2 linked regions of the Coturnix japonica genome follow. The protein of the gene in region 1 purifies or fractionates together with the protein of each later gene. This does not show direct contact. Links are inferred from orthologs where the notes say so. Each region holds a gene or a part of one and is shown on either strand. Other genes may lie near its edges.

Evidence for each region.
Region 2: the proteins of FOXJ1 (region 1) and RFX3 purify together in Homo sapiens (affinity purification with mass spectrometry; 3 studies listed by BioGRID and IntAct, counting the BioPlex papers as one, with this or other methods). This does not show direct contact. The link is inferred for Coturnix japonica from reciprocal best matches to the Homo sapiens genes FOXJ1 and RFX3.

Annotation. Positions count from the first base shown.
Region 1 is NC_029533.1:3,905,847-3,923,068, forward strand, and holds FOXJ1 (forkhead box protein J1), read left to right. Parts: upstream 1-3,353; 5' UTR 3,354-3,615; intron 3,616-3,978; exon of another isoform or gene 3,979-4,116; intron 4,117-4,219; 5' UTR 4,220-4,255; coding exon 4,256-4,771; intron 4,772-7,206; coding exon 7,207-8,010; 3' UTR 8,011-8,940; downstream 8,941-17,222. Other genes in the region: E3 ubiquitin ligase RNF157, read left to right, coding at 1,666-1,706; EXOC7 (exocyst complex component 7), read left to right, coding at 14,356-14,415, 14,625-14,690, 15,436-15,620, 15,750-15,855, 16,255-16,477. UniProt on the Homo sapiens protein: Transcription factor specifically required for the formation of motile cilia. Acts by activating transcription of genes that mediate assembly of motile cilia, such as CFAP157.
Region 2 is NC_029547.1:24,260,873-24,277,231, forward strand, and holds the end of RFX3 (transcription factor RFX3), read right to left. Parts: intron 14,140-16,359; coding exon 14,042-14,139; intron 13,742-14,041; coding exon 13,592-13,741; intron 11,511-13,591; coding exon 11,302-11,510; intron 10,315-11,301; coding exon 10,161-10,314; intron 8,292-10,160; coding exon 8,249-8,291; intron 7,453-8,248; coding exon 7,214-7,452; 3' UTR 5,369-7,213; downstream 1-5,368. UniProt on the Homo sapiens protein: Transcription factor required for ciliogenesis and islet cell differentiation during endocrine pancreas development. Essential for the differentiation of nodal monocilia and left-right asymmetry specification during embryogenesis.

The sequences.
Region 1 (17,222 bases):
AGAACTGCCTGGCCCCACTGGGTGGGGAACACCTTTCCTTCCCCATTCCCTTTGGGAAAGCTTCCTACACCACTGCCTCACCTCCCGGCTGCCCTGTTCCTGGTGGTTTCTGCTTGGGAGAAACACAGCGAGGCTCTTGCAGAGGAACAGGCACTTGCCACAGCTGCCCCATACCCCCCCCCCAGCAGCACCTGGCATCCCTCAGGTGCCCCTTTTGGTGCCCAAGCGCATCCCCCTCCGTTGTGCCGAGGGATGGAGAGCTTTGCAGCCCAAGCAGCCGCAGAGATGCTCTGGCAGTGAAGGATGAGGTCTCCATCCTTTGGTCCTTGCGTTTGCCTGGTGGCTGCTCTGCTTGCGAACCCTCTGTAGGCATTGCCTCTGGGGCTGATGGGGGGAGAGTGGGGAAGGGGCTGCCTGGATGGCAGTGGGGATGGGAGCACAGCTGTTGGCATGAAGGGAAGGCAGGGGCTCTGCCTTGAGGGTTTGGAGAACGCAACATGCTCCCTGCATGGTGGAGGTGCTGGGCTGGTTTGGGTGCACTAAGTGTCAGAGCTTTGGCAGAGGTTGAAGGCTTTTAGCAGTGAACCAGGGCTGTGAACTGACTCTGGCAGGCTCAGATGTGAGCACATCCACAGGACAGACACAAAAACAAGGAGTTTTTCTATGGAGTATCTTGAAAGCTTAGTATTGTTGTGACCAGAGAGGGTTTAGAGACTGGTTTAGCTGTGATTAGATCCATGGGTTGTTTTTAGCTCTCTCTATAATGAATGAAGGTGCAGGACGTGGCTTATCGATGTGGAAATACTCGTCAGTCCCTAGTGCTGCTCTGAGATCTTTCCAGATTTCAGATATCTGGTGGGTAAATGCTTTGGGAAGAGTCAAAATGCTGCGTCCTGAGGGCTTAGGATGCAGTGTTTGAGCAAAACCCACTGAGCTGTGTCCCTAGTAGGGTTCCCTGGGGCAGAGCATCCTCAGGCTGCAGCCTCTGCTGGGATGAGGCACAGTGGGTATGGGTGGGTGGCTGTGACCCCACACCCTGCTCCTGGCATTGTCCCTTGGGAACCTTTCCAGGAGGCCCCGCATTGGTACAGAGGCACCAGAGTGACTTATTCAGTATGGAGCCCTTAATGCGATGGCTGCATGTGCCTGTGTGTGTGGTCTTTAATTACCTTCCAGGATCTGCAGCCTTGCCTCATTCTTCAGCTCCAGCCATTGAGAATCACAGCCGTCACCTCCCATATCAGCACTCAGTGGGGACGTGGTTATTCCCTCTGACAAAGCCTCAGTGCTCTCCCTTTAGCCTCAGGCTGCCCCCACACAGCCCCTGGGACTCAGAACTGCCTTGGGTGTGGGGCTGAACCTCACCATGATGTGCTTTGTGGGTGCCCCCCCCTCCAGCAGCACCAACGCTGCCCATTGTGGTGTAGGTGGTGGTGAGCACATCCCAAGCTCTGCCTATCCATGAGCAGAGGGGCTCCATCGTCCTCAGCACGAAGCCCTGGGATCACCATCTGTAACACCTGCAGTGCCTGTCAGCAGTGCCTCCTTATCCCACACCATCCCATAGGGGAGCAGCCCTATTGCCAGCCCCTCGTGCTCCTGCGTGCTGCGATGCTGTGCCTCTCACACTCACCGTGTACCTTCTGGTCTCTCCCTGCCATATAGCTGCAGTTCCGGACTCCTGCCCCATTGACATTGAGGAATAGGTATGAGAGCTGGCGGTACCCACGCGCCCCGGGTGACATCCCTTAGTGGGATGAGGGAGCAGGGGAGATGTTTGGGTTGTTAAAACCCAACCAGGCTGCACAGTGCCTCCCCCTTTGCCCTATTCCATGTCAGGGAACCCACATCTCACCCTACAAAGAGGCCACCTCATGGTGCTAAAAGGGAAACCCCTATCTGATGCAATATTCCAGCATGGGAACAAAGATTTGGGGTTTCCAACTACACTGCCCACATTGGCAGCACCGTGTCCCCCAGCACAGAGGGTCTCCACTCCCCTGGGGGTGTTGGGGTGCAGCTCCAGGTGATCAGCCTCTAACCCCCTGTTTTCTCTCCCAGGCCCAGAGGCAGCCAACACCAATGTGTGGCTCTGTGCTCCCCCCGGCACCAGCCACCCGGAGCAGGCAGCAGCCATGGGAGCACTGCCCATGGGTGGGCTCAGCCTGGGGGACATGCAGCCCCCTGCCATACACAGAGAGTCCCAGGCACTGCCACCTCCACCTCCGGCCATTGGAATGATGGTAACCTCGAATTTTCCCCCCTGTCCCCCACTGCAGGACGGCCGGGTGTCACCTCCAAACCCCTCCATCAGCACCTTCCCTTTTACACACCAAGGTTGGGCTGGGGTCCTTCCTCCTGCCCTATGTGGGGTCTCGGGGTATTGGCCAGAGGGGAACGATGGCACAGAAGTGCCCACAGTTGTGTGTGAAGGATCAGTGTCAGCATTGGCAGCCAAGGTTCACTCTGGTGACCGTGGTGGGAGGCTGGACCCCCCCGGGATGCTGACACGTCCCCATGCCGTGCCATGGGATGCCCCCACCGGTGGTGATGGAGCTCTCCCCCATCCCCTCTCTCCTCCTGGGGCAGCGTGTGGGTTCCCATAGGGTGGCTTTGTGTGCAGGGATGGGGCCATCACCAGCTGAACTTCACTGTCTTCCACCACACTACGAGCTCGGGGCTGTGCCCTCTGCCTGGAACAAGTGCCAAAGTGTCACCCAGTCACCCAGCCCAATCTTAACATCACACTGAGAAGCAGGGGTGGACAAAGGGGATGGGAGCTGCAACCCCCCCCCTCCATCCCCATCTCCTGCAGCCAGTGCTGGGCTGCACACATGGGTTAGGGGTCCAGAGAGGTGCAGGGATGCAGCCATACAACTCTGGGGACCTCAGCATCCCAACACATGTGACTTATGGGGGGGTTGCAGGCAGCCATTGCTCCGGAGGGTCCTGGCAGGTGAGCAGTGGGCTTTCCTGGCTGCACACCCCCCCCCCCCATTCTCCCTCCGCCCCCCATCAGGGATATTGAAGAGAGAACAAACACCCAGATCGCTGCTTCCGACTCTGCTTCCAGCATGTGATGGGGTCCAAGAGTACTGTTAATAAAGGTTTATCTTACGTCCATCACAGTGTCCGCAGTCGCTGTATGAAGGCGGGCGGCGTCTCAGGGCTCAGTGTACGACCCCAAACCGGCACCTTTCCCCTCTGCTTTATCCCAGAGCCCGGCTGGGATGGAGATGTTTGATACCAATGGGGCGCCCTAAGCCCACCCCCCATAACAGCCACTAACAGCTCTTCTCCGTGGCAACGATACAACCAACCAGAAGACTCGAAGCTGTTTATAGGGCGGAGCGTCACCGCGGCAACGAGGGAAGCCTCGCGGAGCCGCTACTTAATGGCGGGCGCTGCGCTGCCGGCAAATCACGGCGGCGGGGCGGGCAGCGCCGGGGGCACGAGTCGACCCTAAGGGGGAATAGAGGAGCCCCCCCCAATCAACCTGCCCTACGGACCGGGCCCGGGGTTGTTTGGGTTTGGTTCTGTTCCTGGTTGCCGTTTCCAGAAGCTTCCTGCTCTGCCGTCAACTTTGGGAGCCGGGGGGGACGTCGTTGGGACGGGGTAAGGGGGGTGATGGGGTGTGAGTGGGGGGCGGGGATGGAGCTATGGGGCGGTCACAGTGGGGGGGTGAAGGTGGCATCGGCCATCGGGGCCGCGCGGTTGGCGCACGGAGCGGGGGGCATTCATTGCTGTTTCATGCGCAAGCCCCTCCTGGCTGCAGGAGCTGGGGGGCTCTCTGTGCTGAGCCCACTATTGGGGGGGGGGGTTTGCTCCTTTTTAGGCAGCAGGGCAAAGGGTTTAGTGCCCCTCCCTCCCCCTCCCTTCCCCCCCCCCCCCCCCCCCTTTGGACCCCCCGACTGTTGGGGGGCATCATTTGAATGGTGGAACCCCCAGCCCAACGGCTGCTGCCCATGGGCTGCCAGTGCCCAGGCCGGCTCAGGGGCCGCCCCATCCCCGGGTGACACCGGGTGGCGTTGGGTGACGGCTCCATGGCCACGCTGGGGGCTGAACATCAACCCAGCAAGGATGTCTGAAGCCTGAGCCCGTCCGCTCGCTCTCAGGGTGGGTTCAGGTTCTTAGCGGTTGTTTGGGGGGTTTAGGCTGCCGAGAGCAGCTGCACCTCGGGGAACCTGACCCCCTTATCCCCCCCCTTATGTCACTGCAGGAGCGTCCCGTCCCCTCCCGGCGCTGCTCCCCGTGGATGCTGGAGCCGCAGCAGAGCCCAGGGATGGCTGAGGGCTGGCTGAGCCTGCGGGCAGCAGAGGGGCAGCAGGGCGGCATGGGGGACTCGAGCAACCTGGACGACAGCCTGACCAGCCTGCAATGGCTGCAGGAATTCTCCATCATCAACGCCAACGTGGGCAAATCCTCCTCGTGCCCCAGCGGCCCCGATCCTCACGATTGCCATCACATCCCCGGCTTTGCCGCTCCGTGTTCCCCCCTGGCTGCTGACCCAGCATGTATGGGGATGCCCCACACCCCCGGCAAGCCCACCTCCTCCTCCACCTCGAGGTCAGCACACCTGGGTTTGCACACACAGCCACCTGAGGACATCGACTACAAGACCAACCCGCACGTCAAGCCGCCCTACTCCTACGCCACCCTCATCTGCATGGCAATGGAAGCCAGCAAGAAGACCAAAATCACCCTCTCTGCCATCTACAAATGGATTACTGATAACTTCTGCTACTTCCGACACGCCGACCCCACCTGGCAGGTGGGTGCTTTGGGGTCTGAGGGTTTGGGATGTGGGGGGAAGGGGATTGGTCCCTGTGGGGTTTGTGGTTTGCACAGGGATGGAGGTACTGATGGGAGAGGGAGGGAGAATGAAGTGGCTTTGGGACAGGGATTGTGTGTGCAGGGATGGCAGAGGGAAGGAGCCATTACAGGGGAGAGCCCAGGGCCATTTTAGGAGCGGGGAGGTGCGTGCTCGGTTCTGGTATGTGGATGTCTCTGTCCCCAGCTCCACCTTTCTGCAGCCCCCATATGGAGCTCAGTGTGTGTGAAACCCCCAAATCAAGGGGAGGGATGGGGAGGGCTCACGGGGTGATGCTGCACGTTGGATAAATCCCAACTTGAGGAAGCTCGGAGCAGAAACACTGCAGCTCTGCAAACAGGGTGGAGGGGAGGCTCTTGGAGAGGCCAAGGAGACCCCATTGCTGTGATGAGATGTGAGGCCCCAGAGGCTGGGCTGTCCCATATCTCAAATGAACCCATCCCCAGAGGTAGGGGACAGCCCTCAGCAGCTCCAAACCTGGGGTTTTTCCCAGTCCCCTCCATGCAATGTCACTGTGAGGCTTTCAGGATGGGGAGAACCTCCAAGGATCCCAATTAATTCCCACACCCAATTTACAGCACTGGGCAGCACAAAGACACTGCAGACCCCCCAGGCTGCCCTCATCTCCAGCAGCTCCCAAAGCCCATCCTGGGGCAGGGAACCCCTTTATCCTCCAGGATTGCACCTGCCCCCCCAGATCCTCCCTGCACTGCTCTGTGCTAAGGGCCACCCCATATTGCAGCACAGCTTTGGCAGATGGGAACATTGGGGCACTGTGCATCGCTGGTGGGGGTCTTTTATTGATGGGGGGTGGGAGCAGCACTGTGCCAGCATGTTGACTTTGCCCTGCAAGCTCCTGGCTGGCTAATCACCATGGTTTTAATTAAATGTGTTTATTAAAAAAAAAGAAAGAAAGAAGGGTTTTCAATCCCTCCCCACAGACACGCAGGGGGGGTGGCAGGATTGTGGCAGGGAGGAATGATAAATATGTCCATGTAACGAGGGCTGAATGAGATGTGGGATGGGGAGGGGAGATGGGGAGCCCAGAATTCAACCCACAAAGCTCTGACCCTCATAAAATGTCATTAAATGGTCAGCTTGGAATCGCTGCAGCCTGGAATGTTGGTGGGGATGTCTGTGATTCCCCTTTTCTCTCCCTTTTTCTTCTTCCTTTCTCTTTGTTTTCATTTTTTTCCTTCTTTCTCTTCCTTTCTTCCCCCCCCACTCCCTTTTTTATCCTCTTTTTCCCTTTCTTTCTCTTTATCCCCCCCCTTCTCTTTTTTTCCCTCTTTCCCCCTACTCCCCCCCCACCTTTTTTTCTTTCCAAGCCCATTTTCTCCTCCCCTACCCCAACTCCCCTATGAACACACAGCCTCTAAAGGTCATCCCACCCGTCCTCGGGGGGGAGATGGATCTATTCCTGTGGGAGCTGAGTGCTTTGGAGGGGAGCCAGCGCGCCCAAGGAGCTCTAGCCCAGCTCTGGGTTTTGTTGTGTGTGTGCCTATGTGTGTGTGTGTGTGTTTTTCAACAGCTCTGAGCATTCAAGCCTTGTTTTTCCTACTCGGCACTACGGATTATGGATGAATAAGCATAAAGATATCCAGGCAACATTAAAGGAAAAAAGGGGGAAAAAAAAGCTCTCTACCATATCCAATCTCTTAATACGGGCTTGGCTTTGTGGAGCCCAACGCTGTGTTATTTACCCGATAACTGAGTTTCCTTTCTGATTATTCACATCACTCGAGGCACATTCAGGGCTTCAGAACAGCTCAACAGGAGCAGAAACTCCTCTTTTTCTTTTTTCTTTCCAGCTACTTTGTGCTGTGGCTGATGAAGATGTGGTGAATTCACACATCCTGGGCCAGGAGGCACCCGTAGGGGCAGATAGCCCAGGATGGCTTTGCCCACCTCCCCTTGCCCCTAACAATTGGCACAAATGACCTTTGGGGGTACAGGGACGGGTGATGCCAACCCCATGGTGCTGCCCTGTTTTGGCCATGGGGACATTGGAGTGAGTCCCACCTCACCCTCTATGCAGAACTGGAGCTCCTCCAGTGGGTCTGGCCTGTTTCTCCCAATTCTCAAGCCCTGTGGCCCCACTTTACATCCAAGGAGAGTTTCCCAAGTGTTTCCTGATGGCTGGCAGGTCCTATCTCAAACCCTTGTCTCCTGCTGCTTCTTGGCTGGCTGTGAGGAAGGGAAATGACACACTGGAAACCCAAAGAGGGAAGTTCCTGTTGGGCACATGGACTAGATGTCATAACAGTGCCATTTCTGCCTTATTTACCCCCAGGATCCCAGCTGATGACCTTATACCCATACAGGTAAGTGCAGAAGGCAACGCTCAACCTCTCTCTTTTCTCTTTTGGGTTTAGAACTCCATCCGGCACAACCTCTCCTTGAACAAGTGCTTCATTAAAGTGCCCCGTGAGAAGGATGAACCAGGGAAAGGCGGCTTTTGGAAGATAGACCCTCAATACGCCGACCGGCTGATGAACGGGGCCTTCAAGAAGCGGAGGATGCCCCCGGTGCAGATCCACCCAGCCTTCACCAACAGGGCCCAGCACCAAGCAAGTGGTATGACTGGACCAGTGCCTTCCAGCTGTGCCAATGGCAACGTCCTCAACGTCAACACAGAGTCCCAGCAGCTGTTGAAAGAGTTTGAAGAGGTCACTGGTGAGCAGAGCTGGGATGGGAAGAGCGGCCGCAAGCGCAAGCAGCCCTTACCTAAACGCACAGCCAAGGCAGCCCGGCTGCTCAACACAGCCCTGCTCACCCAGGAGGAGCAGACAGAGCTGGGCTCACTGAAGGGCAACTTCGACTGGGAGGTCGTCTTCGACACCAACCTCAATGGAGATTTCGCCACGTTTGAGGAGCTGGAGCTCACACCACCCATCAGCCCCATTGGGCGTGATGTTGACCTGACAGGCCACGGGTACCATGACAGTGCACAGGAGTGGTGCGTGGCTGGGCCCGAGCAGCCCCTCTCCGAGCCCAACCCCAACAACCTGGACTTTGATGAGACCTTCATGGCCACCTCCTTCCTGCAGCATCCCTGGGATGAAGATGGCAGTGAGTACCTGTCCGGCTCCGTCAGCATGGAGCAGCTGTTTGAGCTGGGTGACACCTCGCTGCCCGCGGACATCGATGAATGGAGCGCTGTGGGATCCTTTCTATAAGCAAAGGAGCGAACCAAACCCACGGGGGCTATGGGAGGATGCTCCCTTTCTGCTGCTGGAACTTGCAATGGACAATATTTTCTATGGACAGACTCCTGCAGCAGCTTGATCAGCTTCGTGGTTATTCATAGACACACCAATGGGGAGAACACAGCAACACAAAAATTGCTTGAAATACCTTCAAAGGACACACCAGAAGTCTGAGGTCCACGAGTTTCCTCGAGAGAAGAGGTAGAACAGTACTTATTTTTTTACTTTTTAAGGAACAAAATGTAAATTACCATTTCTTTTCCCTTGCATGGAAATGGACACGGCATTCAGGCCTGCTCTGCAGACCCAACAGACAAGATTCCTGGTGGCTTCGGACTCCATAGACTACGTGCAATCTTCTCACTCCTTCTTCTTCTTTCTCTTATTCTTTCTCTTTCTGTCCGGGTTCGTTTGTAGGTGTAGCTAATTAGTTAGCAGGCAAACAGAGTCCCCTCTGGATTCTCCAAGTTCAACCTCCCTCCTGACTTGTGTGCCTGGGGAAGAAGGAAAGATCCGTAAATTCAGTCTGCCTCTTTAGATGTTTTTATATAATCTATTATATATTATATATTCAAAGAAACCTCTATTTTTTAGCATTAGGACTTTTCTTTTCAGAGTGGGATAGGGGAAATGTAGCTTGGGGGGTTGTTTTGTACTTGGGCTTATGGTAGTCGTCCTGCAAACCGAAACCTGCACAGTGGCTTTGATCAGCATTGGGTCACCCAACTCCATGTCAACGTCACCACTGTTCCTGTAGCCAAACTGTGCCGAAACTCGACCCAAAGCCCTTGGATTCCTCTGCTCCTCGTCCCCCACGGGGGGTTTTGGGTGATGTAGCTGCTGAGTAGGAGTAAGGAAAAGCTGTAGTATCAGTGCTGTGTGTCTTAGACTCACCAAAAAGAAAGAAATGGGAGAAATGTAAAGACTTTCTTCTTTGGTTGCAGAAGCACTTAGGATTGTTGTTGTGAGTTACATAGCAGGAGTACAGCTGTAGCACTAGACTCAATAAACCAGCCTTGAAAAATAAAACCAGAAACAGCCTTGGTGTGATTTGCAATGGGTAATGGGGGGGTGGAGCGGGCACCAAGGCTCCCTGATACCCCACAGCTTCAGTGGGGCTGGGCCAGGAGCTGAAGCCTGCTGAGATGCCACCACGCAGCCAGGGGGCTGGTGGAGATGTATGTAGTTGTCTGGGTGATGCTCCTTTTCATCTGTTGTTTTAATCTTTTCCTGGGCTGCAGTGAACGAATGCAAAGTGATGAGTGCAATTCTAACCTTTCTCATGGAGAGTTATTTACAAATTAAAAAGGAAAAGAAAAAATAGGTTAAAAAAAAAGCCTTTTGATTCCTTGTTTCCCTGCAGCACTGCCTGGCTGTATCTGAGCCTCTCCTGCATGGGGCTGAGTATCACCATCCCAGTCCTGCTCTCCACCTCTAAGTGGGCTCAGCAATTCCCCATAGGGAAACTGAGGCACAGACCTCATGCACGGCACCACTTTCACATCAGGGGGTCCTGCTGGCTTGGGGACACTGGGAGCTGCTCCCAAGCCCTGGAGCCTCTTTCTCTGCTCCTGGGGGGTGGTTGTCCCTGTCTTGCCCTGTAGGAACACGAGCGGGTTGTGAGCCCTCGTGGGTGTGGGGTGGTGAGAGGAGCTGCACAGCTCTGCAGGAATAGACCAACCCTCGTGGGGCCAATTACACTGAGGAGCAGCTCAGGCTCTGCAAGAGCAGCAAAGCAAAGCAGCGGCTGCAAAGCAAGTGGTGGGGGGGTCTGTGTGCTTGGGGAGCCATACACGGAGCTATATGTGGGGGTGGATGGACTGGGGGGACCCATACCTGTATAGTGGGATGGTGGGGAGAGGGAGGGGATTCTGCTCAATTCTGAGCACCTCTAGACCCTCCCTCACCTGCACCAGGGCATCCCAGCCCCTGTGCCTTAAGGACTGGGTGGGCACTGCAGCAGCAGCAGGTGCTCACAGTCACAGCTGCTCTCAATCTGGGCAATCTCAGCCCAAAAGAGAAGGGCTGGGCTCAGCTTGATGCTGGAGGTGGTTCTGCTTGGTGCTGGGAGGGTAGGGGGGCTCCCAGAGGTAGGGACTGGGTCTCCTTTTGGCCTGGGTAAGTATGAAATCCTAAAGGAGAAATGAGGGGCTGGGGGTGGTCAGGGGTTGGAATGGGCTGGGGGGGTGGTGGAGTGTGAATGTGGGGGTGTTAAAGAGATGTGAGGATGTAGCACTGAAGGACATGGGTCAGCAATAGGATTTAGTTGTGTTGATGGTTGGGAAGATGGGATCACATAGGCTGGAAATAAACCTTCCACGATTCAGCGGTTGGAAATCTTAACAGTGTATCTCCTCCTGTCCCGTTCCCTGTTGTCAGCACGTGGGCTCTGCTCTCTTATTTCTCCATTTTAAGGGCGTTATTAGCAGGGCTGGGAAAAGCCAGCAGCCCCTCGCTGCTCCTATGCTTCACTGCTTCTTTTGCTGGCAAAAAGCCCACATTTCTGCTTCACCCCCTGCAAAAAGCAGCACCCCGGGCACCCACCCCTGCACAGGCGCTGCCAGCAGCCAGCATTGCTGCCAGCCAAGGGGAACAAAACAAGGGTGAGCAATAAAGGAGGCACCAGGCAAGGCCCCAAAACAACCCCGTTTTGTTTGGTTCCTGAAAGCAGACCTGCCTGGGCCTGCCATGCGGATGGGAAGCATCCTGCTCCCTCCTCTGCCCCAATAACCTTTGGCTTGTTAAACCCGCGGCCATAACGCCTCTATCAGTGGTTTCTCTTCTACCCCCTCCACCCCTCATCCATCATCCACCCAACACCTCAACCCCAATCTCTGCTTTGCAAAGAGAGGGGGGTAAATATAACACACAGCCCCTTCTTGTCTCTGCTTTTCTTGTGTCTTTCTTTCTCCTCCATTGAGCTCAAGGCTGGCAAGGAGCCATGCTGGCAACAGCCGGCTTTCACTTGCTAATCATCCCAAATATTGAAAATCTTACGGCTAGAATAAACAGCCCCGAGATTGGGGCCATCTCTGAGCCGGGTGGAAATGCAAATCCCATCGCCTTTTGTTTCCTGCTCTGGGTTCGGGTCCTTCCCTGCCCCCAAATTGGGTTTTATTCATGTTTTCTTTTTACTTTTTCCTCCCTCTTGGAGGGGTAAAATCAAAACAAACGGGCCTGTTTTAGGATCCCAGGCTGGGATGGGTTGGAGCCGTGTGGGGAGAAGGGGGAGGTAAGGATGGAGGAGGGCAGGGGATGGACTCGCATTGCATAGCAATGAGAGAACCTCCAAAGTTTGGGAAAACAAATGGGTTCCCATATGTGCCCTTAGGGGTTTAGGTGGGTGAGGGCTCGCAGGACACTGTGGCAATGGGGTGGGGATGGTATGGGGCAGGTTGGAGGATGCAGGGGGTGGTAGTACCAGGGGGGTGGCGTTGGGGGGGTTCCTGTGGTCCTGATTTGGGACCCAAATGTATGGAGCTGTCAGAGCAAAGCCAGCAGGGGCAGAATGATGGGAAAGCTGTGTTAGGTCCCTGATGGGGACCCACCTCTCCTGCACCCCCCCAGCACAGCACAGCTCCCTGCCTTGTTCCATGCCCTGGGATGCTCTTGGGCTCAATGGGTCATTGCCAGCAGCCGTTCCCCACGGCAGGGCCGGCACAATGGGGCAGGCTGCAGCTTGCCCAGCACTCCCCAGACCGCAGGCAATGGTCCCTGCGTCACCGCTGTCACAAGGAGACGTGGGGCGTGTGGCCCTTCCTGCTCCTCCAAGCATGCCCAGGGTGGGTGTGGAGGAGGGGGGGGGTCCTTTGGGTGCATGGGCTTAATGTGGGGTGGTGGGTCCCATGGGATGCTCCTGTCCCGTGGGATGCTCCTGTCCCATGCATGGGGTTGGGGGCACTGGCTTTACGAGTTAACCCAGGAATCACAAAGAATTTGGCCTGGCGTGATGCTGGTGGGAGGTGTGCCAGCCTGGCAGCCTGCAGGAGCCGTGGCTCTGCTCCCAAACAGCACCCGGTTTCTTTGGCTGGCAGTTGCCATCTGCATGGGGAGCCCCCCTATTCAGAGGGGGTGGGATGCTGGGGTGCAGGGTGGTGGCTGCTGGGCTGTAGGTGTGGATTTCCAGGCAGGGAATGAGGAGAACAGCATAGGGATGCCATGCTCTGTCTCACTGGCTTTTGGTTAGGAGACACATTAACAGGCAGGAATGTGCAAACAGCCAAAGGTCGGGGTAAGGCGGCTGCATAGCCCATGAGAGTGCAGTGAGTGGAGGCAGAACCCTACAAGGGCAATGTAAGAGGATCCCTGGGCACGGGGCTCTGCAGACCCTATTGATTGCTGTGCTCTCCTCCTGCCAGGTGGCTCTTAGGGCTCACAGAGCACATTCCAGCTGAGGGGGTGGCTCTGGCTGCTGCCCCACACCTCCTCCTCAGCCCCATGGTGTGTGGAGCTGCTGACCCACACAGCAAACACCCCCCGCCTTCCCCAGAAACGTGGCGTAGGGAGAAAATGAGCATCGTCCCCATCCTGGCCCCAGAGCATGAAATACGGCACCATCAGCCCGTGCCAGGACTGATGCTCACGGTGTGCACTGCCCCAAACCTGGCCCAGAACCTCCTTTTCTCCTTAGACTGGGAACTGAAGGGCTTGGGTACGTGAGAGGGGACACTGCGGTGGTCCCTGCCATGTGCACCCCATCCCCATCCACAACGGCAGCACTAAGTAAACAGTGCCAGGGGATCCTCGTTAATCCTGATCATTCATTTACAAAAAGCCATTTAGAGCCGGCTATGTGGGCAGCTATCAGAGCACTGGGGAAGGTTTCCCAGCAGGACCTTAATTCCCTCTGCAAATAAAGCCGGAGGGAGGGAGAGCACAGCTTGTGTCTGTGCTGGGCTAGTGGATGGGGTTGTGGGGGGGACTTATGGGGCCAACCCTTAGGGACTGATCCCAACCACCTTACAATGAGCCAAGGGCCGAGCTCTGCTGCTTCATCTTCACCTTTGCTCCTTGGCAGTATTTGGGAGCCCAGCACCCCAAACCTCCCATTGCTGAGCAAGGGGGCTGCGATGCCATTTGAATGCTGCATCCAAACAGCACGGAGCCATCAGGTTCTGATCAGATCCCAACCTGCAGCTTTAGAGCAGCGCAGCAGCTTTGCTCGGTGCCAAATGGACTCAGCAGCCCCAACCAAAGCACGGTGCCAACTCGGCCGTTGGTGACACCCTCCCATGGAGCAAAAGGAGCAGCATTCCTCCATGCACTGCTGACTCACTGCCTTTCATCCTCCGCAGGCGGCAGCTTCGGCGCGGAAAGAGATTGTTGGCGGGGTGGGAAGGCGGCAGCAGCAGGCGGGATGGGATATAAACTGTGTTATTGCCTTTCAAGATGCAAAGGGTGGCTGAGGGGAGCAGCAGGGCCGTGTCACAGTGCTCATATCTCTGCCTGTGTGGTGCCACTTTGGGGCTGTGGGGTGGGAATACATTGCCCTTCATGCTGGTCGGCACACAGCTGTGTGATAAGGTGGATCATAAAACCCACCTGTTGTTGAATAGAGACCCATTGGGCTGCCTCAGCCTCACCAAGCACAGGGTGGGCTGATAAGGGGAAGATAGATGGGGACACAGGTCCAGCCCCTATAGCAGGAGGTTGGGGTGCTTGGTTTATGGCACACACAGCAGGTCTGACAGCAGCAGAGGGTGCTGGGTCACACTGGGGCATTCCCTGTCGTGCATCCCCTTCCTGCAATGGGTGCATTTCCTAGCAGCACACAATAGCAGCGCACACTGAGCTGCTGCATTTCCTCCTTCTATGGGCAGCCCCTGTATGAGCCCAGTGCAGTGACAGAGCACAGGGGGGTGGGATGTGCTCTGTGATGCCATACAGTAAGTAGAGCAGGACTGGGCCCAGCCATGGACCCAACCCTCCTGCAGGACCACTGGTCTCCTTCCAGGTGCCCGCCCTGGAGCCGCTGGGACCCCCTCGTGTCTTTCAGTGCATTGGGGTCACTCTGCACATCCATCCCGGCAGATAAAGGGTGCCATATTAGGACACACCACGCCCCTCCCAAGATGGCGGCGCAGCCTGTACGCCACACCCAAGGTGGCGACCAACAATGCGCATGCGCGTTACTCCCCCAATCCTCTTTCCGGTTCCTCTATGCCGGAAGCCATTCTCTAGATAGCGCTTTGGCTTTCTGCGCATGCGCAACGTGCCTTGCCGCACCCAAAATGGCGGCGCGGTGGTGGCCGGCCGGAAGTGAGTTGTGGTAGCGGGGTTTGTGTGTGGAGCGCGGCCCTGGCGCCCCGCAGCACCATGATCCCAACAGAGGAGATGTCGGCCCGCAGGAGGGAGATCGAGGACAAGCTGAAGCAGGTGGGGCTGGGCTGGGGTCAGTGCTTGGAGGTGGGGTTGGGCCTGCGGCTATCAGGGGCCTGTTATGTCTCCTCAGGGTTCATGGGTGTCTGTGTGCGGCCTACCCTGTGCTCGGTCTCCCAGCTGTGGGTGTGTGACCCTCGTTTGGTGTATAGTGAGTTCAATGCTCGATGGTCTGAAGTGAAAACTGCTTTTTATCGTGACTGCAGGAAGAAGAAACGCTGTCCTTTATCAAAGAGAGCCTTGAGAAGAGCGACCAGCTCACAAAGAACATGGTGAGGAGCTCCTGGAGGTGCAGCCTTAATGTTGGGTCAGGGGCTGTTCATCCTTAGGTAGACTCATGTTTAAGGGTGGTGTTGTACTTGTCTGAGCAATACAGAGTAATAAATCACTTGCTTTTACACCCCACAGGCTGGTTTCCAACCCATACTTTCCCTCCTTGGGAGGTGTGGGTGCAAAGCAAAGGCTTCATGTCCTTACAGTCTGTCCTTTCTCTTCTTGAAAGAGCTGCGTTTTGACCCAGGAGGGATGATGTGAAGTCACCCTCTGTGGGCTTATTTTCCACAGTTCAGAAGTGACAGACCCTTTTAAAAGCCAAATACTTGCAATGTAAAAGGACATTAATGCCACAATGTGCCTTTGTGTTGTCTCTGTTTTACATCTTAGTATTATGGAGCAAAGTGGCTGCCAGGTTGTTTTTATTGATCTCTTTTATCTAAGGCACCTCCAGGCATTTCCAGTGGCTTTGTTTCTTGCTATCAAGTCAAGTTTTGCTCTCCCTTAGTGCTGTTTTGCATGCTTTACAAATGTAAGGATGGTCTATCTTTGACAGCAGGTGACCTGTATTGTAATTATTCATTATTCATTAGGACATAGAAAGTTTAAACAGCCTGCCTTAAGGGGCCATGGAACAGAAGTGGGGCCTGAAGGTGCCTAATTGCCCTATTCTAGCTACTAACCCGTAGTGTGAATTCATGTGGAGGGATGTCCTCAACTCTTTTTTTCTCTCTTGACATGTAGGTTTCTATCCTTTCCTCCTTTGAAAGTCGTTTGATGAAGCTGGAGAACTCGATCATCCCTGTCCATAAACAGACAGAGAATCTACAGCGCTTGCAGGAGAACGTGGAAAAAACCTTGTCCTGCTTGGATCATGTCATTAGTTACTACCATGTGGCAAAGGACACAGAGAAGATCATAAAGGAAGGGTGAGTTTGGTAGCTAGGTCTTGCTGGGGTGCTTCATCCTGTCAGTTCTTGGGGCAGAGGTAGGCGCTGACTCCACACACTTTGTCTTTTTCTTCTTCTGATCCTTTTTATTTTTGCTTTTATTTTTAGCCCCACTGGGAGGCTGGAGGAGTACTTGAATTGCATGGACAAAATCCAGAAAGCAGTGGAATACTTCCAGGACAACAATCCAGACAGCCCGGAGCTGAACCGTGTGGTAGGTCGCAGGTCTGGAAGCTTGCATGGGTAAGATAGGAACAGCCATAACCCTGCCACTTACCCTCTGTGGGCAGTGAGAGGCTGGTGGGCTTGCTGCCTGATAAAGAATGTGTTTGGGCACAGCTGAAGAAATGATTGCTTTGGTTTCTGTCCTAGCCCGACAGCAATTTTGCTTGGTGATATTTTGTTCTTTTCATGCTTTATATACTGAGCAACTCCCAGGCAATTCCATATGTAACTAAGTCATTAAAAGTCTCTTAGCTACAGGCACTGGAGTTTGAAGCATGCAGTACTTGACAGTGATTAGAAACGCTGCAGAAAGTGCAATCTCATGCAGAAAGACTTGTGAGTGACTGATTACAACAACCCTGTTCTGTCCTCTGCTGGTTTGTGCCAGAAATCCCTCTTTGAGAGGGGAAAAGAGTCCTTGGAATCAGAGTTCCGCAGCTTGATGACGCGACACACCAAGCCTGTCCCACCCATCCTCATCCTGGACCTGATCAGTGGAGATGATGAAATGGACACACAGGAGGAGATGGCACTAGAACACCTCCCAGAGAGCGTCCTGCACGACGTCATCCGTATCTCTGGCTGGCTGGTGGAAAATGGCAGGAATCAAGGTGGGCAGAGCTGCGTGGTGTTCCCTTGTAGTTTTGTATTGAGTCAGTGCTCTCCACTGGTCATCACCTGAGGGCCTGAGGGCAGGGTGTTGGAGCTGCAATCCTCTAGTGCTCAGATATCACAAATGTGCAAGGAACTATGACTTTCTCCCTCTTGTGAATGATTAATGAGCAAACCGTTTTTAATTAAACGTGACCAAAGAGGGCTATAAAAGCAGCACAAAAATATTTTCTTCAGTCAATATATCTCCTTTCTGTTTTGCAGCATCAGAGTTTACCTGCATCCTTATATTCTATTACTGACTTTTCCTTTGGTTTGGAATGACTTAGTGGACCTGTTACAGGAAGGCTGTTCTTTCACATACATGCAGCTACTAGAGCTACCCCCACTGCAATGATTTAATTCTGAGTGGGGATTACTGTGCCAAGCAAGTGTGACAAACAGCCTTAAAAGCTGCTTAAGAATTTTTCCATGATGAAAGGAAGTAACTGAAGTATATATGGCTCATTCTCATTAGTCAGTTTATATTCTGCTTTCAGACAGTGAACCCCCCCCCCCCCATTTAATCTCTGTGGGCTGTGAAACTTGAGAATTATTTGAGGTTTTTCATGCTGGCAATAGAGTGCTTGAATTGATTTCATAGTGTCTTGCACAAACATCTCCCATCAGTTCCAAAACTGATGCACTCTTGGTTGTGGCATGCAGTTACTCTTGGGTGTGGTGGGAGAGTCTGAGTGAATACAG
Region 2 (16,359 bases), on another chromosome or scaffold:
AACCAGTACTGTAATGAAATTATACTCATGTCTGGACAACAGCTTACAGCTCAACTTCTTGAGACCAATAAACTTTTCTATCTTTACCACATTTACATGAGAAATACCTGTATTAAAATTGATATCCAGTAATCATTTTGATATTTTAGCATCTAATACGTGGTTGGTCCTCCTCATTAGAGTAGTGCTGTGCCCCTTACATACAACAGTACCTGGAACAGGTGCTTGAGACCCATGAGAAACACGACCTGGTAACATTAGTGAAGATTTGTGGAACTGAAAAAATCGGTAATGGGGGGAAGTGTTGATATTTAAGTTATTAAGTATCTTACTAGCTGTGTTCACTGGGAGGCTGAGACACACTCAGTGCTTATTTCTGTTGCTCTAAATATGTGCAATCTTATTTAAAATCCACAAGTGCAAATAATCTTCTTCCTCAAAACGAATGACATCAGGATTCAAAATAGTTGTTTATACAAAAATGGAAGCAATTCAGGTATGTTTGTAACAAGAAAACAAATTTATTGATTTTAAAAGACAAGACACAATTTTGTTTTGAAAAACACAAAAAGCTAGCCTGAGTTCAAGTCTGAAATATTCAGAAAAATCCTACTGTCTTTAGTATGTTCCAGTCATTTTTTTAAACAACACACTAAAAGTTAATATATATTTTTATAATTATAAAAGTTCCCCAGTTATTGTACAGTACACAATACAAATTGCCCACAAACTATTATTTAGCTCCTGCCAGTTTTGAGAGGACATGATATACTAAAAGATTTAGCATTTCTCACAAAAATCACATCAGGAAATACGTATTTACAAAATCAAATACATTATACAAAAAAACCATCACGTTATTCTGTAAAGATGTCTTCTTTAAATAATTAAAAAGTATATTCAACTGTAGTCCAAAAACTGGAAAAGAACATTACATTATCTCACACATACAATCTACAAAAAGTTGCTTACCTCATTTACATAATATATTCAGTCAACTGGAAAATAAAAGTTTGAATCTATCCTAGTGTTATGATGTTTCTGTGCTGTGGGACTGAATAATGTAATCTGCCACTTACTAAGTGAAATTCAAATGATGGCACTTAAAAAAATACACTATAAAATAAATGCAACGATGGAAGTTTCCTAGAAGGTAAGAAAGCCCTGAGCGATGACAAAATTACTGATTGGTAGCTCTAGAATTAACCTAATTAAAGTTTACCACCTCAGGCACAATTTTCCAAGTTTTTGAAAGGCACTCAAAGTTTCTTTAACAGCCTCATTGGTTATTAACTGTAAATCCAAATTTTGAGTGATGATGAGTGGAGATGGGCAACTTGCTTTGGTACAAAGTGATATATTTCTGGCATCCTTTTAATTGCTTAATTGGGTTGCGTTAAGATGGATATAATGTTTCAATGCAAGGCAAACATGTTAATATTGTATTGAAGAAGACTTCATTTGGGGAACCCTTTAGTATCCTTAAAGCTCTTGGTGACATCAGCGAGTCAAAAAGAACCAAAGTGAGTTCCTGCTAAATACCAATCCATGTGAGGTTGTCTGTCCCTCCAAAGCCTAAACTCCTCTAACAGAGACATTTGTTGTTTCAGAGTAAAATTCATCCAGAACTGAAAACTCTTGTTAAGATTTTTGCACCCAAATCAAGAAAAACGCATAAGGATAGAAAGATCCCGATTTAGATTTAAGTGAGGCTCATTTGATGCTAGTAGTCTTGTTCTGGGCCTTATTTTCTACTGCAAATTTTACCCTTAGTGAGAAATCTTCAAGAACAATTCTTACCAAATATTTAACTACTCAGGGCTTCCAATCCCAAAATGTTAATTTATTTTTTAAAAAGGAAAAGGAAAAAAATAAAGTAATAATAAAACATGATCATATTCAAACTAAGGCATATTTTACTTCCAAAACAAACACTAGGCAGTCACTTTGTAAGTGGCTTTTACTATTTCTCAAGTTAAACTGGTAAATTAAACTCAGGTCTACCGGCACATAAAATCACTAGCAGCAATGATCAAGGCATGCAAACTCAGAAGCATTTACATTAAATTATGAATTAAAAAGTTGTTAAATTAAAACCCTTTGAGTATTGCATTTATGATAATTAATTATGCATGAATTTGCAATAACTGACTAAAAATGTTTACAGCTTACTTGCACTATACTAATGACGTAATTGCATTAAATAACTTAAAATGAGACCTTTTGTTTTTTGCCCTCAGATAGACTTAAATAAGTACAGCTGCACTTCAGTGTTTGCCGACTGATTGATACTGCAAGAAACTAGTAGAAAATTTACAGTACTGTCACTTAGTAAGGTGGCATTTCTCTCTTTAATGTCAAAGAATCTGTACTTGCTACTACAGTCATCCCCTTGCTCTTATGAGCAGTACTTGTACGAACTAAGGGGCTTTTTAACATGTTAAAAGGCTGGTGCAGTTTCTAGGTTGCTGTTAAAATTTTCACATTCAACAAGGGCCATCCCTTGTACCCCTGCAGATGAAGCTGAGTAAAATACCTTCATCTTAGCATTAGTTATTATTGCAGTGACTGAATGTTAGGAGGAGTATAATTAATTGTGTTCTGATTTATGAAAAAGATGTCAGAAAACTGCAGTGTAAACATACCAAATATTCTGTAAATTTTTTCCTTTTTTGCTAAGCCTTCTTTTATTCCTAATGATTCTCTTTTACAATATTGGAATATTCCAATGCTAGCCTACCTAAGGAGATTCTCAAAGAAGGAGAAATATTTTTTTTCCTAAACCTTCATCTTCTAAAGGCATCATATTAGACAACTTCATGTCTGTAGAAACACACTGGATTTTCCTCATGTATTTCCGCATGTATGAAAACAAGGGAGATGAAGAACTATTTTCCATTATACAGTACACATCAATGGCAGTGAATATTTGGCTAAATCTATCGAACCTATCACAAAACCATTCCTGTATAGTATGCAAGTATTTACTTTAGAACTATTAAAAAAAAAACCCAAAAAACAACAAACTACAATGCTATCAATCAGCTATTCTGAAGTGTATGATAAATGATCTAAAATGCTTTATTCCCATCATATGACTTACAATGCTCAAAGGGTTAATGCAAGGCATTACATTAAATTAATTCTCTAATACTAGAAATAAGCACTGCATGTTTATGCTCCTATTCCAGTTTTTTGTTTGTTTGTTTCTCTTAAATCACCAAACAAATTATCAGAGATACTACAATTCCATTTACTGATTTTAAACCATACACACAGAGGATGTCCTGTTAGAGAGACAAGGGCCCAATTTTCAGAAATTCACGCAGTTCTCTCAAACGAATGTTTTAAACTCCAGAATTACCATTGTAGGTCATACTTACGTTACTGATAAATCTCATTTTCCTTCCCTACTTTTATAGCTAAAATTATTACTTTCTTTTTGTAAAGCCATTCTGAACTGAATCCAGTGCGACTCTAGATCTAAAAGGTTTTCTAAACAGTGCAGATATCAATTAGTGATATTCAGAAAGATATCATGTCTCTTATGAAAAAAAAAAAAAGGTGAAAAAAGAGGCTTTAGATATTTCAAAATACCTCGCTTTAAATTAAATTTGTATATATGCCTATACATTCCTGAATGACAGTACACCAGAACATTACCTATTTGTTATTTCTGAACTAAAGGCTGTGATTCTGTAAATCATTATTCTATGGGTAAATAATTTAAAATCTATTTTCCAGCTTTTTAGGGAAGTCTCTTTTAAAAGAAGGTGCTTATAGCATGCTACAGTACATGAGCAAAACACAAAAATAATAACTGAGAACAGAAAAGAAAAACAAAAGCTTCAAAACTGATTTACCATGAAAAAGATGGAAATGTACCAACAAATCATCATAAATGTATAACTTTTGAAAATTGGGCCCTGTGCTTTGAAAAGGTAGTTTAACAATACCCATTCCCCTACACTGTTCACTGTGATATTTGTGCTAACAGGGAAAATGCCTTTAAATCATTATTTTGGATTCCATTCTACATAAACCACTATTAGCCTTCATAACGTCTACCCTGTGGACAAATGCTAAACCTCTCCAGAGCACTGACAACAGACTTCAGAGCTGGTGTGGCAACCACGTGCTGCGCATCATAGATTCTGGACTGAGGTATTCATATCTCTGTAGTTTAATCATTACTAAAAACACAACTATTAAAGATAGCAGAAGTGTGCAAAATGTTTTTCCTGTGTTTAAGATTTCATTAAATGTAAAAACACAAGACCTCCAAACCTGCAACTATACAAACTAGCTTACAGCAACTTAGTTCTTCTAAAAATCTTGTAAGAAGGATGAGAAAAACAAAAACATGTTAAAATTCCGAAAGGTAATCAATTGATAAGCATAGGAATACAGACTCCGTTTAATTTTCTCCATCTGGGATAGTTCCAGTTTGTTTCGATAACTCATCATTTTGTAGAAGCTATGAAATACATTCTATCTTTGTATTAATTTTTCTAATTTTCCTTTTTTCTTTTTTTTTCTTTTTTTTCTTCTTTTTTTCTTTTTTTTTAAATTTTTTTTTCATTTTTTTTATTTTGCACTTTGTGAACAGTGAACAACTGGATGGGAGTGGGAAATTAAAGATTCTCAGGTCCCACATCTTTCAGCAATCTAAATTTACCTATTACAATCATTCTCTTTTCTCAGCAACAACAAATACAACACTAAAATCTGTAACACAATAAGAGAACGCTATCGGGTTTGCCAACACAAAACTGAAAGAAGTACTACAGTATTAAAGAAGTTTAAAATGAAAGAAAAAAGAAAAAAAAGACTTATTTCACTTTATTTTAATTGTAAACATCTTATAATGCACAATGAAGGGAATAAGTATTTATCACAGCTTAGTTTTAGGATTTTTGGTGAAGGGTACAGCTTTGCTGATTTCCAAGGAAAAATCAGGACACACTGAGCAATGTATGTGAGAGCAAAATCTATGAGATTCAGTGCATTTATGAGTGTAGAAGTAATGAATATAAACCTCACGTTCACTTTTTACTGAGGTGAAATCGCTGACATCAAGTAGGATTTATGCAGGATGGGTTCACCTCCCCACTCTTTAAAGGACTTAAGTTTAATTTTGCGCACCAAACAAGTTAGGATGTTTTAGTTGATATGTAGCTGTATTTGGGGCACATGTAATCCATAGCATCTAACTCCTTTGCTATAAATACACCGTTTCTTTCGCTATTCTTCTCCGATTTGGTATATATTACATTAAAGTCATTTTACAGACACCGTAGGTAAGCCAAAATAAAAAAAACCCTAATTTTTTTACCCAGTCGTTTGTATAAAGTTCATTTTTTTGTGCTCTTTCACTTCTTGACTTTTTTTTTTTTTTTGATTATTCGATTCCCTACTTAATGTAACAAATTCATGTGTCTGCATAATGAAATGTTTAGGAATAAAAATTGCAATTAATGTATGCTATATAAACTGTCAATATGAGATCGAGCTGTTAAAATGTAAAATCAGGCTGATACCCCACAAAACATACAAATTGAAAACATGCACTGCATTATGTACCTGCTCATTTATTCATTTTTACTTTTCAAAATTAGAAGTAGACATGGGTCTAAAAATATATATAATCATGCTTGGGACTATGGTCAATCTATCTTGACATCTGAATGTGGTATTAAAGCTAGTTTTGCCTTCCAGATTCCCAAGCAACTTTTATTTGTAATAAAGTGAAATCCAGCTAGAAACGAGAAAAAATAGGTTTATTGTCATTCTAAGAGGGATATTAAAATCATTTAATAATAAAAAATCATTTCATTATTTTGAAGGCTATGTAACCTGTCCTTACTTAGGGAATTTGAAAATGACAGGCACACCTTGTTGAATTAATTTAAGAGTTAAGAATAACAAAAAGTACTAAGTCTTAGCTTCAGTTCTGTTTAAGGCACCATGTAATAGCCGAGGTACAATGATCCCTGATGTACATTCTTAAATGGCAATGGTCCATCTAGCCACCTATTCAAATTCTACACAACTGGGAATAAGTAAAAGTGAGGTGTGCCAGTTACACTGCCTTACCTAATTTTTTGTAAAAATTTAAATCCACTGTAACAACAAAGAAATATTTTTGAAAGGAAAATGATGCAGGTTGCTACATTCCTTGCATTCTATAAATTATCTTTTCTAAGAGCAGCAGATTGAACCACTAATATGAAAAGACCTGGAATAGAAGAAAGTCATCCAAATGGAATATTTTCCTGTATGTCCAGTCCAGCTTAAGTAGCACGTACACTTAAAAATTAACAGTAATAATTAAGTCACTTCTTTTTCAGCTTCAGCTTCTAACAACTATAGTACCACTCAACAGCCAAAAGCACCTGTTCAGCGGCACCACGTTTAGTATCAGTAGTCTTCAAAACAGAGGAACTGGTATGCAAATAATATCTGGAACTGTTGATTTTTAATGAACCTTGCATTCTTAATATGATGGTCAGATTAGGTACGTTTGTTACGTACACAAGATTAGGTACGTTTGTTACGTACACATTATCACATTGTTACAATTCCGCCATTTAAACTTGCTTCTTTCTCACAGAAAGAAACTGGTATATCTTCTCAACTCTTCAACAATATTACAAAAAATCCCCCTGAATACTCACAATTTTATCAAAATAGTGTCTTTTAGTTGTCCACGGAAAAGCACCTTTTATAACAAACTTGATACATCTGTTGTCAAATAAGTATGCCTCCAGTGTAAATCAAAGAAAATAGTTCTTTTGATATTTCACAGAAGTGCATCTATTTAAAAACCTACGTATATGAAATCATCACTATAACCAATAATGAACATTAAAATATTTTTAAAAAACTATGAAAAAAATTAAATTATTATTAAGAGGACAAAAACATTAACATCAAGCTTTGCAAAAATCTTTCTTGCATTTGATTATAAGAAAACTCTTCACATTGAGTGGCCAAGGTAAAATGATCCTGTTTACAAAAAAAAAAATCTTTTCTTGAACAGGCCTGGCAAAATGCTTACACTCATACCATTTCATGACTCCAATAAAATAATGTTCAGTACAGCTGAAATTTGACAACAGTCGATTTTCAGACCTTTTTTCTCTTTTATTTCTTTTTTCCTAATAAACCCAAAGGGCTAATGTAATGATGGGGGGAGAGGGGAAGTTTCACATTAGACTGCAGTATATGTATTTCCAGTAGCACTGCACTGTCTGATAGTCTGAGTAGTTGCAACGATGTGCTCATTATGAATTGGGTTTAGGAGGTTCTGCTGTACTCCACTCTCAAGCACTGGCTGCATGCAGCCCACCTGAAATGCTTGGTTTAGCTCTGTTTTCTCTCTCTTTGCTTGCGGCTCTCCATTTTCATCCATTTCTTCATCTATTTCACTTTCAACTTCGCTGCCTTCATCTGCAGAAAGGGGGAAAAAAAATCCCTTTATTTTGCAAATAATATTTGAAATACAAAGTTATTGGGATGACTAGCAATCTGATAAAGCACAAACTGAAAACTTAAAACTTTAATGGAAAAAGCTAATGATTATATCAAATAGATTAATAGACTCTCATTGTTTTGATCACACCAGTTACATACTATTGATAAAATAAAAAGGAAAAGCAATTACTAATCTGAAAAACAGTATCTAACAAGCAACAATAACTTCCTACTGCAAAATCCTTTTTGTCTTTAAGACCTGATAAACCTTTTGAAGAATTGCTACAGATGGGGAAATGAGTGAAAAGAGGTTGAGACGTGACATGAAATTATACACTCTGTCAGTGTAAAATCTATGTCAAAATATGGCGTGAAGAGCTCATAAGGACCTTATTTCATCCTACCATCTTCTCTGGCATGCTATTTAGCAACTGCATGCAACTCCAACATCTTCATTTAGCAGTGATAAAGATACATAAGACTACTCTTGTCTTTCTTCCCACAGCTGTTCCCTCTTCTTCGTACTACCAGACACAAATTCCAGGCTCAAATGGGAATATTTCCTGTGTAAATGCTAAATATCTTTAAAATAAATTGTTGTTAGCAAACATACCTATGATGTTCTAGTAATTATTATATGCTGCAAATCAATGTATACACAAAACAAACATATGAATTTTATAGCATGATACAGCTCTAAATTCTACTTACTTTGCTCAGAGACACATTAGTTCTACACTGATTTATATACTAGAAAGATTAAAACACTTACCTTTATCCATATTTCCAGGGGACACAGCATTTAAATCACCAAACTGAAAAACAAACAGTGAAAAAACTGAGCACAGTGTATGCAAATAGTTATGTAGTGTCTGTGATGGAGACAGACTGTGCTCCACTGGTTTGAGGCTGGCATGCAAACACATGACCTAAGCTGCAGCCACATCCATCATGCATCAATTCATTTTCCATTCCATCTTGTATTTAGTAAGACAGTTATCACTAAGAAGTGAGCTACTTCTGTGTTGAGTAAGTCAGAAAATGTGACAGACATTTTGAACTATCAATATTTTATCCAAAAGGTCTTTCTAGAATTTCTCAGAGAATCCAGAAGAAAAATGAAGGTATATCTCTAAATGCAGCTATAACATTGCAGATTTACCTGGAAGGCAGATGAAATGCATTTCTGAGGAAAAGTTTACAAACTGGTAACCAGTTTACTTGTATTAAAAAGATATATTTGCAAAAATGTTCATATTCTAGATGTGTAACATTCCTTCCTTTCGTTTCCTGAATCCTCTCTCTTAAATGAAATTAGCAGAGTAGAATGTCATCAATGAATCTCAAAGGAGAATTTTACTTCAGTTATACAGTTCTGACAATAAGTAATGATACCAGCCTTTTTCAGAAAAAGAGTAAAATAAAAGTTACTTAAGGAACAGTAATGCAATGAGCAGCAATACCATCATTTCATGTCCTCACACTTATCCTTATGCTACTTTGGCTTTGTGCAAAGTGTTCACACAGCTATTATTTGTTCACAGCTTTTTATTTGAATAAATCTGATCCAGTTAACTGCAATACTTGGCAGTACTTTTGCTAACACCTGTGCCCAAAGCTGGGCGAAGAGGAAGGCAGGAAAATGAACATGCTAATCTCAGCTGCAACACTAGCTTACACTGTCCTGCAATGTTTGTCAAACTGTGGTCTTAGGTTTCCTCTTATTATTTCTGTCACAGTCATTGAATACAGAAATTCATTAACAAGCATACATTTAATCATAAAATCATAGCATCATAGAATCACAAGGTTGGAAAGATCATCTAGTCCAACCATCCTCCCATTACCGTAACTACAGCAAACCACTAAAGCAGATCTTGTAGCTGAGCTTGTAATGACCATTTGCACCTTCTCTTGTGTATCTCCCACCTCCAAAAGTTTTGTTATTTTTTTCGAATAATATCTCCACCTTCAGTTTACATCAAATAAACAACTACACAGCACCTAAAAACTGATGCACAAACATAAGATGTGTATTAAGAAGGCAAGAATGAAGTAACTGTATGATTTTGAGTATCTTACTGCATATGTAGGGCAGACAAAGGATATATGCTATTAGTGGGTCACTAAGTGGAAACACTGTAATTTAATTTGTCTAAAACCTCATGCCACATGGTAGGAAATCATTTGACAAATATAGTGAGACATGTCCAATTTCTCTTGAAAGTCTGCTACCAATTTACAGTATTTAATGATACCGTTAGTGTATCTTGAAGGAACAACAAAACCTGATGTCAAATCAACATGCAAAGTAACTTCCAAGTTATCTGTAACAAACATCACGCAGTGACTCCCAAATGTGAAAATGTAATAAAGCTGTGCCTTTAAACATCTACTGCATTTTCAAATGTATCCATTTTCCATCACTTTGGAAGTACAATTCTATAATGAAAGTGTATGCATTCTTCAGTATTTCACTCAAAAGGTTAGATGAAGTACTGGAGAAAAGAGGGATGAAATAAACCTCGCCTTGCAGATGCCACAGTCAAGTACAAAGATAGTTCATCATTCTTAAACTGTACAACATCCTACAAATACACATGAAAGTTTACAAAATTTGCAAAGGTATGTACGCAAATTCATCGTTAAATCTATCAAATCTAGTCTCTCACATATTATCTTACCTCTCCCATAACTGCAATAGGTGTCTCTCCTGTGGCCTGAGCAACACGATGTTCTACTAAGTAAAACATGTATTCATCATAAAGCAAGCGGATCAGATGAAAAGAGCCAAAGCTAGCAGCACTGCGCAAGGTTAGATCTCGAATCACCATTGAGCTACTCAAAAATGGAAAGAAAAACAACACTGTGTTATATGTCATTGTCACACAAATGCTTATCCATATAGACATTTCATCTCAAAACCAATATTCCTAAAAACAGCATTATCCACAGTGTCTGACTAATGGTGCCTTTGGAAAGAGGAGTTAAGGAAAAGCGATTATTTGCTTCTCATTTTTTGCAGAAGGTGTTGCAGGCCACCAAGAAATAACTGTGCTTTTTAGTTGTTGTTGTTGTTTTTTTGTTTGTCTTCCATTTTCCTTTGCTTTCCTATCTTCATAACCACCAAGATTTGTGAATATGTAAAACCTAACCTGAAGGAAAACTGCTAAAAACACAAACAAAAACTATACTCAAACTTTCATTTTAGATAAACTAATGTTTAAATAAATTCTGTTGAGCCCACTTCCCAGTAGAAAGGTTTTGATTACCATGATTCTAATAACTCAAAGTTCAAACTAGATTAGAAAAAGATGTCTGTGTATGTATTAGATTGACAAATTCTGGTATCTTTAGCAAGTAGCTGACATAATCATTTTCAAAGAGCCAGCTTTACACTCACAATTGATCCAATAAACAGCTGGTAGGGAATGTTAGCTTGCTTTAATCCACTTTATATTCTGTAAAAAAAGTTTACCTTACCTAATGATCACAGATATTACAGTGTTTTAAAAAATAAAATTAAAAACACTGGATTGTACGGTTATTCAACCCAATGATCCCAAGTTGTGTTTCTAATTCATGACAAAATTCTACCCGCATTCATATGGCCTTCCAAACAGCAAGAGTATTGGTTAAGTCCCTGCCAAGTTCCAAGTGTCCCTGAGTTTGATGTTAACAGTAATTTTCTGGAAAAAAAACCCACCCACATACTTTTGGTGACTTGATGACTCACAGTTTGATGTTGCATCAGTCAAGTTCACTACAGTGAACAATTCAGCAAATAACAGAACAGTTAAAATGTTTTATAAGTATAAATACTACCTGTAGAAAGACCATTTTAACAGAAATTGCCGTGCTGCTTTAGGAAAGCTGGGTCTTCCTTCATATGGTTTCAATGCTTGCATCATTACATTATCAAGCCAGGCAGCCCACTGCTCCAGAGTGCTTTGCTGTTGAAGAGTCATTTTGAAATCTGTTTCTAGCCTCTGAACCATGTTGTCATCACACTGGCACACCCAGGAAGCCTGCTCCTGTTAAAGCAAATAGCAGCCCTTGAAGTAACAGCACATAAACCAAAACACAGAACACAATTCATTCTTAAAGGTTAAAAAATTCTGTGGAGAAAAAGGGCAAAAAATGCTTGTAGGACAAACTAAAAAGCAGTTCTTGTTTTTATGTCTGTCACAATTTTGTTCAAAGAAAGTGGGTGGGAAAAACACAACACTTAAATGTCAAATTCAGAAATAAGAAGAACAATGGAAATGACACAAGCATGTTTTAGTTTGCCCCATTTGTTTTCAGAAGATATCTCTTACTTTCTTTGTTGATAATTTTTCTACTGAAATATATGGGAATTGTCAGTTTTTGCTGGGACTGCTGGCATGCCAATCAGAAATACCAGTTAAGTGGGGGTCTAAAATAATAAAAGAACAAACAAGAAATGAAGTGCAAGGTTCCTCTGGGCATGAAAAAGACAATTTTAGTTATACCATCTTATAAAAGAAAGTTTTGCATATAAACAAGAATTGCTTTATTTGCTGACTGTATGTTACACGAAAGTACAAACTTAACTGCAAAGAAATGGAGAAACATGCTTGCATATAACAATGAACAATTTAATCAGCAATATCAAGATTAAATTAATTTAGTAGGACACTTCAAAAACTAAGAGATAACATGGAGACACATTCAAGACATGCCCTTAAACTTTAGCTATCTTGTGCCATGTTAACACCTCAAGATTAGCAGGCTGTGTCTACATTAACATATGAGCATAATCAACATTTTGCATCTTTGGTCGAGTACACTACCCACTCCTGTTCTTTCATGTTGGTACCAGCGATGTTCCAAGAAGTAGTCTGAGGTAAATTGGAAGAGATTTGAAGGTTCTTGTAAGACATCTTAAGGATTCAGAACCACAGATACTGTTTTCTGCAGTCCTCCCAGTAATGGGAAATAAACAGGTGGTCAGTGAATATTAAGATACTTGAATGTGTGCAAGGGGCAACACAGCTGGTAACAGGACTGGAGGGCATTTTCCTATGAGGAGAGACTAAGGACATTCAGGATGCCCAGCCTGGAGAAAAGGAGGCTGAAAGGACATCAGTGCTCCTTGCAGCTCCTTGAGGACGAAAAGTACTGCGAAACGTACTGGGCTCTACTCACTGGTTATCAGTGTGAGAATGGATGGAAAAAAGCTATGCCACGAGATGTGGTCTAAACACTGGAACAGTCTTCCTGGAGAGGTGGCTGATACACTCTGCATGTCAGTGTTCAAGAGGCATTTGGACAATGCCTTAAAAAATACACCTTAACTTTTAGTTAGTCCTGAAGCAGTCAGCATGACTTGATCCTTCTAAACAAGCTATTTTAATTCTAATGCCACCATTTATAATTTACATATTGTTGCATAATATAACTACATATATTAAAATATATTTATTAAAAAGTACGTGAAAAAAGCATAAAGAATAAAACTGTCACTAGCAAACTGATTTTTATATGTAAAATTATCTCCTCAAAAAAAGACTCTGACACAGAACTGCCAGTCATCCAGAATATTTTACTTTGTTGGGCAAAAGGAAAACAACACTTCAGCAATGGTGTAGAATCATGTGAGAAACCCTTTTTGAAGGCTAACTAGAAACCAGTTCTAACCTTTATTAATCCAATAATGACTCATACACATAAGCAAAGATACTTGGATAAAGCATACTAATTTAATTGTATTTGAATGAATGAAACAGTCTCTACTAAAAACAATGTTGTACATTTAATTGCTTTCAGAGACATTCAGGAGTTGTGTTCCTTTCTGTGACCTAAATGTGCAATATCACTGATGCTATTAATAAGACATTATTTGTGATATAACCATTCAAAGAATGCACAGGCTCTTATGTTTTCAGAGAATCTGGAAACATATGAGTACTTGAAATAAATAAGCACTTGGAAATGGAAAATGGCTCCAAGTTCTTACTTTCCTAAAGTAGATTTGAGCGAATCCTCAAAACATTATTGTGCTTTTTTCCTGAAAGAATAATGACAGCAAATGCAAAAAGTTCAGAATGTTTGGATTATTTTTCAAAGTCTGTTACTTAAAGCTAAATTTTACCTGAACATTGGCAAAATCAACACGGTTAAGATCATTGAGCATCTGGTTGATTTGAGAAGTGTTTTGAAGAACAGCACGAGCTGCTTGAGCCAGGTGGTTTAGAGATGTGTATCTTCGCAGAGTCTGGGCAAAGGCACTTACAGCGGCAACCTATGAAGAAATTAATTTCTTTTAAAATCTTGTACTCTCTATCTGTAGAATAATACACCTTTGATTGTTTACATTCATTTTAATATTCTACATTAATGGCCCATAATATGTGAATTATATTCATGTAACAGGTCAAAAGCATTTTCCTTTTAATCTTTTGACAAAACAGAATTGTTTCTCATTATTTGATGTGATGCTAAACATGAAATTTAGCATTCAAGTTAAAATACTACTGCTTTTATATACTACTGCACACTAGGCTCATCATTGCAAGAATTAAGCCACAATAGTTTTGTCTACCTTGGTTTGTATCATCCTCTGTGGAATATTGTTCATGGCATTTGAAAGCCAACCTTCAAGGCTTTTTGCAAAATTGCGAATGGCTTGGGTCAAGGCACCTGCACATTGAAGAAGAAGAAACAATGAAAAGAAAGCAAAGTACCTGTTTGGAAATGTTTCGCATCTTCAGTACCTTTGTGCTCAATAGTTTGGATCCACCACTTTTACTTACTGGAAGATGAAACAAACTAGGGTTCAAAATGCCTAATTCAGATTCAGATTATGCAATAATGGATTTAGTTTTCTTTTAATGAACAGTTTGAACTTCCTCACCTAATCTGTCAGGAAGCTGATGACAAACAGTATTGCTTTGGGCATTACTGCATAAGAACATCTTTAATTGCAGCAGTTGTTTCCTATACACTTAAAATTCCTATCACAAATTTTTGGTGTTCTACTTCAGTTAAGTACCTCTTTTTAAAGAGCAAGTCTCTGAAAAATTCCTATTATTGGAAAACTGCAGCTTCCTCAAATAGACCTGAAGAAGTGTGAACTACTGTCATGATACTGCTTATTTCCACTGGAACAAAATCCGGTAAGTAGTACTTAAGGATATAATCAACAAGCAAAATATAAGAATATATTCCACTGACAGAAAGTTTAATCATTCAAACAGCTGTAAAATCTTCCTGTGTTTTTTCTTTCATTTATTTATTTATTTATTTATTTATTTATTTATTTATTTATTTCCTTCACTATAGCACCCATAGAACTGATTGGATGGATGACAAGGATTTTGGGAGAAACTGAAGCTTTTGCAGGAATCAGTAGTGCAGTCAAAAGGGGTTTTGAGGGTTACTCTGGAAGTAATGCCTTTGACTTTATAATGTTGGCTGATGACATCAGTGGTAGACATTGGTGATATGAAAGTAGAGGCTGAACATTCACATCAACAATCTATTACATGTTCTGGTTGTGTTGTAGATGGCAGCAGAGGGGCAGTTTGACAAAACGTAGTCTGATATGGAAGTGTGGATGAAGTAAAGGTGTGCCTCTGAATTCATGTGTAAAAATTATACCCATTGACACTCACTGATAATTACTGATCATTTTTGGATGTCAAGCAGTGGACGTGAGCAACATGAGGTGGTGGGTGGTACACTGCAGCAGTGCTGACAGTGATGTGAAAGACAAGCCATGTTCCAGTCATGCATTTATGAGTGCAACATACAGGCTCTTGTTCAACGCTGGTGAAAATGTACAGCTAATGGTGATGACTATGTTGAAAACATTTCTGATAGCTTAAAATTTTCTCTACCAACTAGTGTTACTGTGCTGTTGAAGTTTCCATGAAAAATAATCAGGATGCACTACTTTCAGATCAACCTATGCAGTTATTAAAGAAGGAGGAAACAAAATTTTTCCATAAGGAACTGCAAAAGGAAAAAAAACAAACAAACAAACACAAAAAACCTTATCTCTTGAGTAGTAAAAATCTTGCTTTCTAATACTTACCACTTGCTCACAGACCTAATAGTGTCCACCGAAATAGTTGGGAAAGGAGACAAAAATAAAAACTGCAGTTTTCTAAAAATGAAGGGAGAATCACTGCAGCTGCAAAAATGAAGAGTAAGAACACTAGAAAAAAGGAAACTACACTTACTTCCAAATTATTTCAGCTACATGTGAGAAAAGACTGTAAACTAAAGCCAAGGTTCTGTTTATAGGGCAGAATACCTTCTGGTAGACTAAGGCTGAAAGAATTTATCTTTGAGAAATACTCTTTTTTACTGCTTGAATTATTGATAATCCTTTTATTTAGGGAAACTATTACTAGAAGATCAGTTCACTAAAAATAAGTAATTCATTAGATCTTTTTCAAATTTCTTTGAATTTATACTAGTAGCACATAGAAATTCTATTAGTAACTTACACAAATGACCACAGATTTGGATGCTTAGTTGAACATAATTTGGTGTTACAAAGTATCTCAATAAGGTAAGTATTCTATGGTAATATGTGTTTAGAATTGCAGTATCACAGAATTGCTCAGGTTGGAAAGACCTTAAAGATCAAGTCCAATCACAACCTAACCATAGTACCCTAATTAACAGCCCTCAGCTAAATCATGTCCCTGAGCACCACATCCAAACAGGTTTAAACACATCCAGAGATGGTGACTCAACCACCTCCCCAGGGAGCCTATTCCAGCACTTAAGTGTTTGTCTGTTTTCCCTTGAAGCTTTCACATAGAGAACAGGCTCTTCAGTCCTATCAATTATTCTGCAAACCTCTGATACTTTGTAAATTCTTCCTCAGCTCTTACTAATTAACTATGT